Callithrix jacchus: one gene and its partners. The protein of the gene in region 1 interacts with the protein of each later gene in a pairwise test. Links are inferred from orthologs where the notes say so. Each region holds a gene or a part of one and is shown on either strand. Other genes may lie near its edges.

Region 1 (4,041 bases):
ATGACAACCCTACAGCCCCCCAGGAACCCCAAAACCTAACAGCCCCATTTTCCACTTCCACGACCCCCCCCAGAGCACCATCCAGGGGAGCACCCCAATACCTCAGCCACGCCTACCATATCTCCAGTCTCTCTGCCCCCGTCTCTAGCTCAGCCCACAGCTGGGGAGGGGAGGGGAAGGAAAACGGGGGCAGACACAGGGAAGGGCAAAGGGGGGCTGGAGGTGGAGTTAAGGAAGTAGCCTTGATACTGGGGGAGGCCAGCAGGGCCGTGAACCTGGAGGGGTTGCTACTAAGTGTCTGGGGGCCTGGGGTCAACTGGTTTGAAGCAAGAGGGGTATGATTAGACCTCGAGAAAGGGCCAGTGTGTGGCAAGATATACTGATGTGGAGGTCAGGGTGGGGAGGGGTCTCACAAAAGGATATTTACTTCTTCAAGAGGCGGCTGGAGGCTCATCCCATTAGCCAAGGTGGCTACAAAATTCTAGGAGAGAGTAACAGGGAAAAAGGATTAGCTACCAGGAGTGGCTGCAGGGGGCTGGGCGGCGGGACCTGGGCTCTGGCAGGAGGTGGGGTGGGTGGGTTTCCAGCAATTCTTCTTCTTTGTGGGGAGTGGTGGCAAAGGGGGCAAGTAATGAGGTGGGGTGCTTAAGAAGGGATGGGAAAAGTGAGGGGAGAGAAAAGAAAGGGGGTCTCCGACCCCAGCTGTGGCTGGAGAGATGGTGGCCCGCCCCCACGTTGCTCCTCTCTGGCCAGGCAGCTGACCACACACCTCCCCCATCCAGGCCAGGGAAATTGGCACTGGCCACCGCCAGCTGTCGCTCCCCCTCATCACATAATCTCCCCCAGATTAGGTGACACTTCCTGACACACACACCCCTATCCTAGGGTGCCATGAATAGCAGGAGGGAGGGGGGCTGGCAGGCTATGCCCACAGGGCATCTGCCACCTCTGCAAACCAGTCTCTTGTCTGAGAGGATTCCAGAAAAGAGGTTTGGCCCACAGGCACTCCCCCAGAGCTAGTACCCCAGTCCCCAGCTCCTGCCTTGGGCTCAGGAGCCCCCAAACAAAACCAGCGGGAACCAACCCCCTCCCTTACAACCCTCTGCCCTGGAAGATGGAGTCCCAGGGATGATGGGCAGCCCCTGGACTCTCTAAGAATGAGAGGACTCCAGAAAGTGGCTTGGGGAGTCAGCCCATCGCCTCCATTCAGACACCCATCCTAGGCCCTGAAGACCCCTAGGTGCGGCCAAGCCTGAGGCCACCCCTGGGGAAGATATTTCCTCCACCCTTAGAGCCCTGGTGCAGGAGACCGCCAAGGGGGTGGGAAGTCATAGCAGTGACCCCTGGGAACTGCATCCTGAGAGCTGACCTGCCCCTCCAGCCAGTGCCATAGGTAAGGGGTGGAAGAACAGAGGTCCCATCAGATTACATCTCTTCCAGATGTGACCACTTTCCAAGTCTCCAAGAAGGGCCACATCACAGGCCATGACCTACTAGGCTGCAAGCACCCTCCCCCCAGCTCTCCCAAGCCAGCGCGGATGCCTATAAGAAGTGCTGGGGGGTTTTCCCGCGGGGGCCCATTTCTCAATCACGCTGAAAACTACCTCAAGACAATTCCAGCCCAAGAGGGCTTGAAACGCAAGACGGAAACCTCCCCCACATGGCTGAAAGAGAACCCAACCTAACTCGAAACCCTTTCAGGCAGCCAGCCTCAGGACCCCGGGGTTCAGGACCCCCTGGGGGGGGGGTCATCTCCCGCCCTCACAAAGGCCCGGGGGAGATAAAGGGCTCCAGGAGAGGATAAAGCTCTCAGCCTACGTATTTCCCACCACCACTCATTCCCAGCGGATATACCCTCCTCCCTCCCCCGCCCGGAAGAAATCCGACGGTAGGTGGGCTTCGGGACACGCCCCATGAAAAAGATGTTCCTCCCACACACCCAGAAATGGCCACAAGGGGGTGCACGGCACCTATTAATGGGAAAATCTCCACCTAGATGCCCCACAACCACCCAGAGGGAGGTCACAGGGGCATGCCCCATCCCCCAACTCCTAAAGCTCTGGGCTAGGGGGAGAATTCTGAGATGGGAAACGGGGTCGGGGGGACCCCATTCTTTTGTCTTCCTCCAGTGCCTAACCCAGAACGCACAAAACCGGGGCCGCTGTCCCAACAGATGTCCCCGGAGCTCGGAAGGAGGTTGTAAAGGGCTGAGAAGCACTGCCCTTCCCCAGAGACTCCCTACATCTTGGTGGGCCCCAGATCAATCCCACCCCAAGGCGTGTGCCCGCGTCTCCGGGGAGGAGAGCTGGTGGCCTCAGACGGAGGGTCGGGCCCCCTCCCCGCCCCCCCGGGCGCCCCTCCCCGGCCGGGGGCGGGGCCTTTGTCCCGCACGTGGAGCCCGCCAGGCCACCGGACTCGGCACACCCCCTCCCCACCCACCGCGCCGAGGCCACGTGGGGGCCTGGCCGGAAGCGCCCCCAGCCCCCCTCCACGTGGGAGGGGGGATGAGACCCTCCGCTAGGCCGGATGCCGAAGGCCCTTGAAAGCTAGGGAACCGCAACTTAAAACGATATCCCCGGATGCGGAGCGTGCGGTGACCCCGTGTGCGGCGGGCGACCTCTAACCTCCTGTCGCCGACTTAGAGCCCTTTCCCCACCACAGAGCTGTGAAACACCGACCCAAAGCCGCCCCCCTCTCAAGGCGGCGCTTCAAGCGCTCACCTCCATGATGCAGTTCGCGGCCTCGGCTGCCGCCATCTTCACCCGCACCTAATCCTCCTCCGGCCGCCAAGACCCCCCCTTTCTCCTCACTCCCCCGGGACCGTCTTATACCAGAAGGTCTAGGGCCCGCCTACCGCGACCCCGCCGGAAGATTTCATTGGTAAAGGAGGCAGCCCGTCTGAGAATACCGTCTAGTTATTGGGTAGAGAAGACGTCGATCATAGGTCAGGGGTTTGCCAACTCTGGCGCCCAGAGTCCCGCCCCCTCAAGTCGACCTGGGATGGGGAAAACTGCCCGTCTATTGCAAAAAGCGCGACTGGTGATTGGGCAAAGTCTACATAAATGCCCGCCCCTTTACCCCAGCACCGCCTCAAAGCTTCCCGGCGAGCCCCGCGCTAAAGGGGCGTCTCGAAATGCCTGTCCATCACCAAAACGACCCGCCTCCTCATCGCTCCCATTGATTTATCCTAACATGACGTCACGCAGCCCTTGGCCCACCCTCGCCAAGCGGCCGGCTTCAAGGAGAACACGACGATTGGCCCAAGGGTAGTGAAGGAGGCGGGGTTTCAGGCACCACCGATTGGCTCAAAGGAACTCCCACTCCTCGAACACTCGGTGGATTTTCCCAGGCCGGGGAGGGTCTGGAGGAAAAAGGGGGCTTGTGCCCATTCTGGGGGGAAAAAAACTGAATCAGTGAGAGGAAGGGCCTGTCTGGGGTCCCTAAGCAAGTGAGGAATAGGTGTCCGCCTCAACACATTAAATCCTTATATCCTAGCCTTTGACATAATCATTCCAAGTTTGTTTTTTGTTTTTGTTTTTCTTTTCTTTTTTTTTTTTTGAGACAGAGTTTCGCTCTTGTTACCCAGGCTGGAGTGCAATGGCGCGATCTCGGCTCACTGCAACCTCCGCCTCCTGGGTTCAGGCAATTCTGCTTCAGCCTCCCGAGTAGCTGGGATTACAGGCACGCACCACCATGCCCAGCTAATTTTTTATATTTTTAGTAGAGACGGGGTTTCACCATGTTGACCAGGATGGTCTCGATCTCTTGACCTCGTGATCCACCCGCCTCGGCCTCCCAAAGTGCTGGGATTACAGGCTTGAGCCACCGCGCCCGGTCCTGTTTTTCGTTTTTTTGTGATGGAGTCTTGCTCTGTATCTCAGGCTGGAATGCAGTGGTGCGATCTCGGCTCACTGCTGTCTCCGCCTCCCAGGTTGGTTGAAACGATTCTCCTGCCTTAGCCTCCCGAGTAGCTGGGACTACAGGCGCGTGCCACCACACCCACCTAATTTTTGTATTTTCAGTAGAGACCGGGTTTCATTG
Region 2 (3,500 bases), about 34 Mb from region 1:
GTAGCCCTGTTCCTGCAGATGCACAGGTTAAAACTCTAGAGGCTGGCAGGTGCCTGTAATCCCAGCTACTTGGAAGGTGGAGGCATGAGAATCACTTGAACCGGGGAGGCAGAGGTTGCACTGAGCTCAGATCGAGTAACTGCATTCCAGCCTGGGTGACAGAGCAAGATTCTGTCTCAAAAAAAAACCCTCAAAACCCTAGAGACACCCATATTACCCCCAAATCCACATGGGGACCTTCAGCACATCCTACTGCCCCCACTTTTTATTTTTTTGAGACGGAGCTTTGCTCTTGTTGTCCAGGCTGGAGTGCAATGGCGCAATCTCAGCTCACTGCAACCTCTGCCTCCCAGGTTCAAGCAATTCTCCTGCCTCAGCCTCCTGAGTACCTGGGATTATAGACATGCACCACCATGCCCAGCTAATTTTGTATTTTTAGTAGAGACGTGGTTTCTCCATGTTGGTCAGGCTGGTCGCGACCTCCCAGGCTCAGGTGATCTGCTCGCTTTGGCCTCCCAAAGTACTGGGATGACAGGCATAAGCCACTGTGCCCAGTGTCCACTTTTTTTTTTAATGTGGTTTTACTCTGTCACCCAGGCTGGAATGCAGTGGCACACCATAGCTGACAAGCTCCTGAGCTCAAGTGGTCCTCTGTCTCAGGCTCCCAAATAGCTGAGACTACAGTACTCAGTCACCAAGCCTGGCCTGATGTCCACTTTTAAAGTCTGGCAGGATCAGCCCACCTCTCTACCCTCCCTGCCCCCGCCGTCTCCTAACTAGGATGCTGCAATTGGAGGGGTTTGAGTCCCTGTGGACAGGAGTTGGCCTTGCCCAGAGCACTGTAGGCTGGTCCCCTGAGGAGGGGGCCTCTGGCCACCTGGCAGCTCACAGCCCCTACCTTAATCTTAGTGAAGAACTGCCGGAAGCAGGCCCGGGGGTCCACCTTCAGGCTCTTGGCCAGCTCCAGTATAAACTGCATGACGATTGTCTGGTGGGCCACCTGCTCCATGAGTGCACATTTCTACCAGGGACAACAGGCAGTGTCACCAAGTGACGGCGTGTGGCAGCGCCTTTTCACAGCCCTGGGAAAGCTCCACTCACCTCCTCCACCTCTAGGTCAATGCACCAGATGACCAGGTAATTGGCCGTCTCCTCGCACACCAGGTGGACATTGTCCGACAGGTACTTTTGACTGTCATCCCAGCGGCGGAGCATGCCTGTGGGAAGATGCTGGCAAGGTGCTGGAGGGCCCTGGAGACAAAGGGCCTGCCCTGACCTGGCTCCCCCATAACCCACACGCCCCACTCACCAAAGTGCTTGATCTGTTTCTCATACTTTTCCACGAAGGTCTTGTGTTTCTGCTCCCTCACCTCCTCTGAGTCCTCCTCTGCTTTCTCAGGCTTGGTATTGACCATGCTCTGTGGTAGGGTGAGAAGGGGAGTGGGCTGGGGCAAGGCTGCGGAGCGCCTCGAGCGCGGCCGGACGGGCCGTGGCCGCAGCGCCCATCCCATCCACGGCGGAGGTGGTGACGAAGCCATGAGCATCAAGGTGGCGGGAGCGTGGGCATGGGCCTTGGGGCAGATCAGAGGAGGGGACCGGTGGGGTGTTTCATCCGCCCGGCTCCCCAAGCCTGTCCCCCCTCCCTACATGGCCCCCGTCCATCCCCCAACCCCCACACCACACTCTTCAATTTCACCACCGGGGTCCTCCCCTGACTTGGCATTGGGTGCGCATGCGTCCTGGCTGCACACTCACTGGCTGCGCATGCGCACTGCCCGCCCGCCCTGCACACCTTGCTGAAGCCATCTTTGCTGAGCGTGTCCACGTTCCAGGGCATGCTCTTCTCCTTCTTGCGCATCTCCTCCAGTTTCTGCTCCCAACTTCGCTCCTCCTTGCGCAGCTGCTGCGCTTCAGCCTGCAGCCGCTCCAGCTCTGCCTTGCCGCCCTCGGCCACCTCCAGCTCCTTCAACTTCCTCTGACACTCGGCCACCTTGCGCTTGCACTCGCGGCAGCCCCTGTCCAGTTCCTCCTTCTCCTTCTGGAACTGCTCCATGCGCTCCACCCGGGCCTGCCGGCAGGAACGGCCTGTCACTCTGGTGGGCGGCCTGTCCCTTACCCCCGGCCCCATACTCAACCCCTGCTCCTGAGATAGCCCCGGGAAAAAATCTGCGTCCACCTCCAGTGCCCTGGGCTCCCAACTTCCTTGCCCCAACAGGTGCCAGTGCACACCCAAGAGGGTCAGGTTCCTCCATCCTCTGCTGAGAACCCTGGCGGCTCCCATTTCACTCAGAACAGAGCCCAAGTCGTCACTACAGCCTATGTGGGCCTGCACAATCTGCCCTGTCACTCCTCCTTCCATCCACACTGGTCCCTCACTTTTCTCATCTTTTCTTGAGCCCTTTTATTAAAGATAGGGTCTCGCTCTGTTGTCCAGGTTGGAGTGCAGTGGCCGGAAGATGACTCACTGCAGCCTTGACCTCCCTGGGCTCAGGCGATCCTCCCACCTCAGCCTCCTGAGTAGCTGGGACTACAGGCATGCACCACCATGCACAGCTAATTTTCATATTTTCAGTAAAGACGGGGTTTCACCATGTTGCCCGGCCTGGTCTTGAAGTCCTGGATTCAAGCAATCCTTCTAACTTGGCCTCCCAAAGTGCTGGGACTACAGGCAGGAGCCACTGCATTCTGCGGAGCCGACTTCTTTCTCTAACCTTAAGGCCTTCCCACTGGCTGTTCCTACTACCTGGAGTGCTTTTCCCTCAGATCCCGCCACAGCTGACTCCACGGCACCCGAGCCATCTGAGCTCCATGTTGCCTTAGCGAGGACCCCTTCCCCAACCACCTTCCTGATGATGGCAACCTCCCCCCACCCCTGCCTGGCATTCCCTGCCTCCTCAGCACCAGCCACCACTGACATCATATGATAATTGTTTATCATGTTCTGCATACTGCCTCCCTCCAAGCCCTGCTCTGTACATGTGGGAATGTGTTCACCACTTTGTCCCCAGAGCCAGGAACTTGGCCTGGTGCAAAGCAGGGACTCAACAGATGCTTGTTTTTTTTGTTTCTGTTTGTTCGGTTTTGTCTGAACAACGTCTCCTCGTCATGCAGACTAGAGTGCAGGATGCGACCATGGCTCACTGCAGCCTCGAGCTCCTAGGCTCAAGCAATCCTCCTACCTCAACCTCCCAAGCAGGTGGGACTACAGGTGCACACCATCCTGCCTGGCTAATTTTTTTTTTTTTTGTAGAGATGGCGTTTTGCCATGTGGCCCAGGCTGGTCTCAAACTCCTGTGCTCAAGCCATCCACCTGCCTCAGCCTCCCAAAGTGCTGAAATTATAGGCGTGAGCCACTGTGCCTGGCCAGGAAATGCTTGTTGAGTGAATAAGTAATGAGATGCCCAGTGGAGGCCTAAACACTGTCTCCAGCTGCCAGCCTTCCCCTCTGACCTGGAGCCACCCTCGCCCACACTTGGTCCCCTTCCCTACTCCTCCCCCCA
Region 3 (3,500 bases), on another chromosome or scaffold:
CCCGGTGGGGACCGCTTCCCCACCCGAGGGGACGGTGGGGGAAGCAGCGCGGATTTGGAGGGAAGTGGCTGGGCCGGACGGCGCGGGGCTTCGCTGGCCAGCTGAGGCTGAAGGTCGGGCTCCTCCCTGCGCAACCCGCTCTGAGGGACGCTGCTGCAGAACCAAGACGGAGAGGGGTCGAGGATTCAGTAGGCCTCCCCTCCTAGACTCTTAGCTTGTGACAGGGATTGGGTGGTGGGCATGCTGGGCAGGCTTTGGGGTGACATGGGCCAGATCCTCTTCCCCCCGCCCCCACAAGGAGCGCACAGCCAGAGCAGGTGCTGGGGGAGAGGCTGGCTGCTCTGGAACCACAAGACTGGGCCAGTGGCTGGGTCTTGTTATGGACTCAGCCCCAAGACTCGGGCCAGCCTCCTTCCCCCAGTCCTGGAAGCCAAGAAACAGCGGAAACAGAACTAAGCATGAGGGAGAGAAAAGAATGAAGCTTAGGACCCAAAGGATGAATTGGGGAGGAAAGACAAGAGGGTGGGGTGGGGAGGGGCGCCCTCAGGAATGCAGCCTCCCACTCATTCCAGCCCCCAGCTGGTCCCCACACCCCTGCCCATCCTCAGCAGGGCACACCCCCTCCTGGTGGCCCCTAGAAGCCAAGTAACAGCCTCCTGGACCTGGCACAAGCCTTTGGGGAGCAGTGGACTATCTCTAGGATTTCCTGGCTGCTGTGTAGACCTGAGCCCATCCCTGCCGCCACCACCAGCACTGATGGGACACAGCAGGTGGCGACGGGATGCCCAGGATCCTAGTCCCCCTGCTCAGTCTGCCCCCAGGATAGGCCTTTGCCTTGCACTTCCCCTGGGAAAGCTATCTTGAGTGCTTGGAAATCCCCCTGAGAAGCACAGAAGGCCCCCCACAGGGGTATGCTCTGAAATAACTCAGCTCAGAAATAGCTACTAAGTGGGCCTGAACAGGGAGTGTGGGAGAAGAGGAGGAGGGAAGGAGCCGGTCACCCCAGAGTATCCCGTTCGCTTAACAGAGCTTTGATGCCCAAGAGCTGGGTCTGTTTTCCCCATCTGGACCCTCCAGGGGGTAAGGGGGCACATCACACATAAAGATTAGAAAAAAAAAAAAAGAAAAGAAAAAGAAAGAAAGGAATTAGAGGTATTTTCATACCTGACACATCGGAGAGCTTAATAAAAACCTGTAAAATGGCTCATTCAGTATTTCCTGTGTGCCAGGCTTGTACCAAGTTCTTAAAATGCATTGAGTCTTAATGCCCACAACAACCCTGTGAGGTAGGAACTGTGATCACCCCCATTTACAGATGAAGAAACTGAGGCATAAAAAAGGTTAAGTGCCTTACCAAGGTGACACAGCTGGGAAATTATTGGTGCTAGGGTTGAAACCCAGGCAGTCGGAATTCTGAGCCCTATTCCCTCCAAAGTGTCTGGGTTCCCAGGGCCACAGAAGGGAAGACAAGTAGTGGGGTACCAGCCACGAGCAGTTCTCGGGGTCTGAGTTAAGGATGTTTTAGCCTACTTGGGTCAGCCACCCATACGACAGACCCACCTCTGACTGGGGCTAAAAGGGGTGGTGGCAATGCAGAGTGCCCTGTGGGGCAGAAACCCCAGCCGGCCACCTCTAGGGAGGCAGTGTCTACTCTAGGGGAAGGGCGGCAGAGTCCCCAGGGAAGGGCCTCTGGGAGCTGAGGCCTGGAGAGAAATTGAGGACAGCAGAGGAGGCCTCTTGCCGGCAGCTCTGAGCTCCAGGCCAGGCTCTGTACCACAGACATCACTAAGGAAATGGGTTCCTCCGAAGTTGCCATAGCAACTCCAGGCTCTGGCTGGGGCCTGGTAAAGAAAGGCAGGGAGGGAAAGGCGAGTCCAGGGCACAGGAGTGCCGGGTAAGGCCAACAAGATAAGCCAAGGGAGACTCTCCCTGGCCCTGGCCCTCTCCCCTGCCCACCACTAGCCACTCTACCCACCCTCAAAACAGCCTCCCCCACCAGGCCACTTCTTTCTCCTCCATGAAGGTACCTGCCCCCCACACCCATACCCATCACAAACCAGGGCCCCCTCAGCTCCCCAAATGTCCCCAGTATCTCTATCCTCAGCCACTCCCCTCTTCCACTCTAGCACTTCCTCCTGTATCTGCCAGCCCCAGATATCCAAAAATGGCTCCAGTGCCTCACTCCATGTCCACTTCTCACACCCCCTCCCAGGACAACCTTGAACCCCACCGTCGGGAACTTAGGAGTTTTTATGAGAGAAATCGTTGCAAGACCCCTGCCACCCTCACTGCCCCCCTCCCTCCAACCTGGCCCCATTGCCAGCTCCTTCCTTTCCCAGCCCCCTGCCACCCCCAGCCCACGGCCTCCTGCTTTCACAGGCCCCTTGCCCCATCTGCCCCTGGCCACCTCACACTCTTCTCTCTCCTGCTTGCTTGCTTGCTCCCCTGCTCTCTCCTGCTCTCCCGGGAGCTGCCGTGTGGAAAGGTTCTGTTCCTCCCAGAAAAAGGCCCACATGGGAACAGGAATGTGCAGAGATGAAAAGGCAGCAGCTGCTGAGACAGCAGGCACGGAGGGGGCCCCCGGGTGGGGGGAGGGATCCTGGGGACAACTGGAGCCTGAATGGGTGAGGCAGAAGAGGGCCCCTGAGAAACTGAAGATCTTGGAGGAGACAAGGAAGGGACAGAAAGGTCCAGGAGACCGTGGAGATGGCACAGTGAGCCAGGACAGGTGGGAGCAGGGCGATGTGGGCGGTGATGGCTCAGGAGGAGGAGGGAGCAGTGTGGGAAGATGGAGTGGCAGCAGGGGGTGAAGAAGTGCACAGAGAGATGGATGGGGAAGGGTGATGGGTGGAGGCTGACGGAGCAGTGAGGGCAGCGCAGGACAGCGTGGTGAGATGGGGCAGTGCAGGCCCAGGTAAGGCCATTACTTACACGTGGATCGAGAGCGCCCGTCCTCTGTACAGGCTGAATGCGCTGCCGTACAGGTCACTGGCCACGGAAAGGCTATCCTCTGACCCCCAGCTTGCGCCCACCAGATTAGCTCGAGATGCCCGCACCAGCGGCTCCACCCCCAGGTGCCGTGGCCCGGCCCCGGTTGCCTGTGCTTGCCTTGGGCTGCCCGGGAGGCGGCGGGTGCCACCCCCACTGCCCGCTTCCTGCTCCAGGACCGTCTGCCCGCTGCCCCACCAGCTCACTTGCTCCTCTGAGGTCCCTGTCACGGAGGTCGGGGGTGTGTCCAGGGAGGTGCCCACCAGGGTGTCAGAGCCCCCTAGAGAAAGGAGCACCGTGAGACCGAGGCACCCCTTGTGGGAAACCCGCCTGCCTGCTCTTTGTACACCGCAGGAGCTCACCCGTGGGGGTGCTGAAGGCCCCGTCATCCCGAAGCTCCAGGCGCTGGGTCCCCTGCACATCGCTGATGTCATCCTCAGCTGTCTCTGAGTCTGGAGAAGAAGGGGTCTGTGTGGGCAGGGCCCTCCTCCCTCTGCCTCCAACTCTTCCCT
Region 4 (3,500 bases), on another chromosome or scaffold:
CTTTGTGGACTCTTGCACCTTGCTTCCCTGTTTCTCTCTCTGCCTGTAGGTCTTCATAACTCCACATAAAAATGCACTTTTGTTCTAGAACAGACAAGTAATTCAATAAAAAGAATCACCAAAAATCTTTGAAGGGTCAGTTATATAATTAAATTTAAATCTCAAAAGACCAGGATTTTAACAAAGTATTTACTGATTCATTAAACAAACATCTGCCCAGTGGTTACTACATTCCAGAGGCTGAAGCAGATAGCAGTAAGGCAGTACAGACCTCAGGGAGCTTATCTTCTCCCTGGGAAAACACAGTCTTCCATCTGTTGATAAGTGATTGCATCTAGACTATCTTTGCCAGATGTCTGAAACTATTCCTCCCACCTACATTTTCCTCCAAGATAATAAAACAGGATCAGATAACCCCCAAAAGTTAAAAAGCTGAGTAACATGTAAAAACCTATAGTAACAACCATCAAAACTTGACTTTAAGTTTTTAAAACAACTTACTACACAAAGGGGTGGGAGGAAACTTTCACTTTATACTTGTGCTTCTGAAATTCTGCCACAAGCAGATCTTTTTTTCCTTTAATTTTTAAAAGAAGAAGAGGTAGTCACAAAAAATAACCACTTCCCCACAGGAAAAAAACTAGTAAAATAATTTCAGCTCATTAATTATTCAAAGACATTTCTGAGTAATGACCTTACCTGAACATGTGATAAGTCACTTTCCTTGAACTGCTGTAGTACAGACAGAGCTCCTTCTTCATTAAATTCCCTGAGAGCATCAATTGCTCGTTCATCAAGATCGACATAAGCTACCAATCCTAAAAATTAAATTGAAAAGGGGTAACGTTATTGCAACAAAGGGGCAGTCTAAATTATTGTTTAATCAAGAAGTGTTATATTCAATATGATCACTAAAAAACTATACTTTCATTTAACTATATGCATATATGAAGCTATCCAAATACTACATAGAACGGTCCAGTACAAATATGCAAATAAAGATAAAATGTCAACAACCAAAAACATGAATTTCAATCTGCATATCCACAAAAGCTCTTCCGTCAAATCCTAACATCCATTTCCCACTCCCCCAAAGGTATAAGTCTTGGAAGTTGAATCTGACGTACATATTGTATTACAGATTATGCATTAACAAATTTTGGTTTATATTAGAGTAATAAGAATACACTGTACTTTTCAAGGATAAACCTTCAAATTACAAATGGTTACAGTTGATGCTAACCACATAAGAGGTGGGGGAAAATCTGAAAACAAATTTTACTAATTCTTTCCACTCTCCAGAAAGTATCAAAAGGCTTTCCCTTCTTAACACCAAAGATAAACTGAAATGCATTTGTTTATCTGAGCATCCACTTTGCTGCAGTCAGAATGTGGAAAGGCACAATTTTAAACTTCTACAAATGCAAGTGCAGCTTGATTTGTCAATTCTGAAAGTCACATTTGAAGGCATTCTTCGTTCTTCTGAAGTGACAAGCTGAGATTTAAAAGATGCTGTGGCATTCACAACACTGACTGTCAAGAATGACAATCTTTTTCAAATGGCAATAAAGACTTTATGGACTCACAAGTAAACTCAACAGAAAACATATACACTGCATTTCACATATGTAGTATATCCAACTGCACATAGAACATCTACTAATTTTAAAATATAATTTCTTAAGTCTATTAAGTTTATGTCATATTTATATATATGGGATATATTTCAGAATTGATCCAATGTAAAATGGAAATATTTTGTAGATTAAAACCCCCAAGTTCATATGAACATGAAAAGTGACTCCATTTTGGTAAAGCCAAAAAGAACTTTATTCTATACAGTAAATTTTAAATAAATGTAATGCCACCTCCAAAGTTACTTTGAAAAAAAGTTGCCATGATTTGTTTCAAAAGCTCAAAATGAGCATGTGTAAATAACTGGAGTTGCCTTCCTTGAATATTCCATACCACCACCCAAAGCCACAACTCAGGACACCCACCAATCCACTTTGTCAAACCAAGCCTAAGCCAAACCGTCAGCCTCTTATCGATAACAAAACACTCTACAAGAGAGCATCTCTAAGCAGATCACTGCCAATTCTCTATGGCAGAATATCACAGAAAGTTCCTGAGGACTGATTTTCAAATGAGACCATCACCCAGGAGTCATTTTTATAAGTCATTTTAATGTCTAAAATTATGCTAAGCTTTCCAGATTTAAAAATTTTTTAAGGACAAAAAAATAAACAACTATTTATTACTACTGTACTTAAGACACATTTGTGAGTGAGACAATTCAATTCTCTCTCAGAATCTGAATAGGCACACAAAACACAGAGGAAGAAAGTTTCCATCTATGGCCCCAAAGGAGGAGGACACATTTATTTATGAACAACACTCCCTAAGGGTAAATATTTCTCTCCCTCTTTAAAACTTCAAACCACTTACAACCAACTATATTAAGATGTTCAAATTTGCTTAAGCACTTAACCATGGCACTTCTAGATTTAAAAAAAAAGCAGCTCTTACAAACCAAACACTTCCAAATTACGGAGAGATGTGGATTTCTATTAGAAACTAGACAAGCCACAAACTCTCAAGGAGTCTAACATTTATTATGGTTTCAGACGATACAGTCTATCCTCTTATTATGCCACCTAATCAGACCTACTCTGATTTAACAATCACTTTAAGAAGCTAAAAGTAGAAAAGTAAAAGCAAAATGATGACTGATTTCGATTAAGAAAAAAATGTAAAATTCGGTATGCAGAAACATACATTTTAATGAGTGGTAAATCTAAGACAAATTGATGTGCTGTTCTGAAACAACTAAGACTGTATATTCAACACTAAGAAGGCTTCAAAATAATGAAATAAGAGTATCAAAGTCAAACCCAATATGCCTTCAATGAAGGGAAAGTAACAAACATTAAGCTCTACAGATCAGAAACAGTATTATTTAACCTTAAAAATCTATAAAATTCAAAGTGGTTTGCCCTCACTTTCATAACCAGTCAGAAACAAGAAATGCATATTATACCTGTCTGAAATATTTCATCAAGTCTTTCTGCCACCTTCTGTGGGAGGCCTGCCTCTATCAGTGTCTTGTAGTGTTCTGTGTGAGTTACACTGGAAGTATCCATTGGTTCTTCCTCTTCTTTTAACTGTACCGCATTACCATTCACCTGATTAGCCATTTTATTATGCTGCTGGAAAAAATTCAGGAGCTATATTACATTAAGCCAGAAATAACTAGTTTGTAGGACAATGCATGATTTATCTAAACTAATTTGTATACATGCTGCTAATAACCTCTACCAAAATAATAATTTATTCCTCCTGTGATGTAGCTGACCTAAATTGGCAATAATAATCCTGTAAAACCAAAGAAAATGTACATGGAAGCATTAGATCTTTAAGGAACTTCATGTACACCAGGTAAAATAAAGACTTTAATTTACTGAAGGTAGAATTGCTGATTAACAAAAGCAGCTGTTCTG

The links.
Region 2: the proteins of PRMT1 (region 1) and CDC37 interact in binary tests that used the Homo sapiens proteins (3 or more experiments, as listed by UniProt). The link is inferred for Callithrix jacchus from reciprocal best matches to the Homo sapiens genes PRMT1 and CDC37.
Region 3: the proteins of PRMT1 (region 1) and SPEG interact in binary tests that used the Homo sapiens proteins (3 or more experiments, as listed by UniProt). The two-hybrid records come from large-scale screens. The link is inferred for Callithrix jacchus from reciprocal best matches to the Homo sapiens genes PRMT1 and SPEG.
Region 4: the proteins of PRMT1 (region 1) and HNRNPR interact in binary tests that used the Homo sapiens proteins (3 or more experiments, as listed by UniProt). The link is inferred for Callithrix jacchus from reciprocal best matches to the Homo sapiens genes PRMT1 and HNRNPR.

The regions. Positions count from the first base shown.
Region 1 is NC_133523.1:43,444,234-43,448,274, reverse strand, and holds the start of PRMT1 (protein arginine N-methyltransferase 1), read right to left. Parts: upstream 2,801-4,041; 5' UTR 2,757-2,800; coding exon 2,721-2,756; intron 2,622-2,720; exon of another isoform or gene 2,440-2,621; intron 482-2,439; coding exon 428-481; intron 217-427; exon of another isoform or gene 120-216; coding exon of another isoform or gene 102-119; intron 1-101. UniProt on the Homo sapiens protein: Arginine methyltransferase that methylates (mono and asymmetric dimethylation) the guanidino nitrogens of arginyl residues present in proteins such as ESR1, histone H2, H3 and H4, FMR1, ILF3, HNRNPA1, HNRNPD, NFATC2IP, SUPT5H, TAF15, EWS, HABP4, SERBP1, RBM15, FOXO1, CHTOP, MAP3K5/ASK1, MICU1 and NPRL2.
Region 2 is NC_133523.1:9,585,356-9,588,855, forward strand, and holds part of CDC37 (hsp90 co-chaperone Cdc37), read right to left. Parts: intron 2,069-3,500; coding exon 1,793-2,068; intron 1,419-1,792; coding exon 1,310-1,418; intron 1,218-1,309; coding exon 1,102-1,217; intron 1,022-1,101; coding exon 899-1,021; intron 1-898. UniProt on the Homo sapiens protein: Co-chaperone that binds to numerous kinases and promotes their interaction with the Hsp90 complex, resulting in stabilization and promotion of their activity. Inhibits HSP90AA1 ATPase activity.
Region 3 is NC_133507.1:141,187,900-141,191,399, reverse strand, and holds part of SPEG (striated muscle preferentially expressed protein kinase), read right to left. Parts: intron 3,441-3,500; coding exon 3,351-3,440; intron 3,269-3,350; coding exon 2,932-3,268; intron 2,546-2,931; exon of another isoform or gene 2,408-2,545; intron 1,193-2,407; exon of another isoform or gene 1,165-1,192; intron 154-1,164; coding exon 1-153.
Region 4 is NC_133508.1:60,092,910-60,096,409, forward strand, and holds part of HNRNPR (heterogeneous nuclear ribonucleoprotein R), read right to left. Parts: intron 3,210-3,500; 5' UTR 3,198-3,209; coding exon 3,041-3,197; intron 819-3,040; coding exon 700-818; intron 85-699; coding exon 1-84. UniProt on the Homo sapiens protein: Component of ribonucleosomes, which are complexes of at least 20 other different heterogeneous nuclear ribonucleoproteins (hnRNP). hnRNP play an important role in processing of precursor mRNA in the nucleus.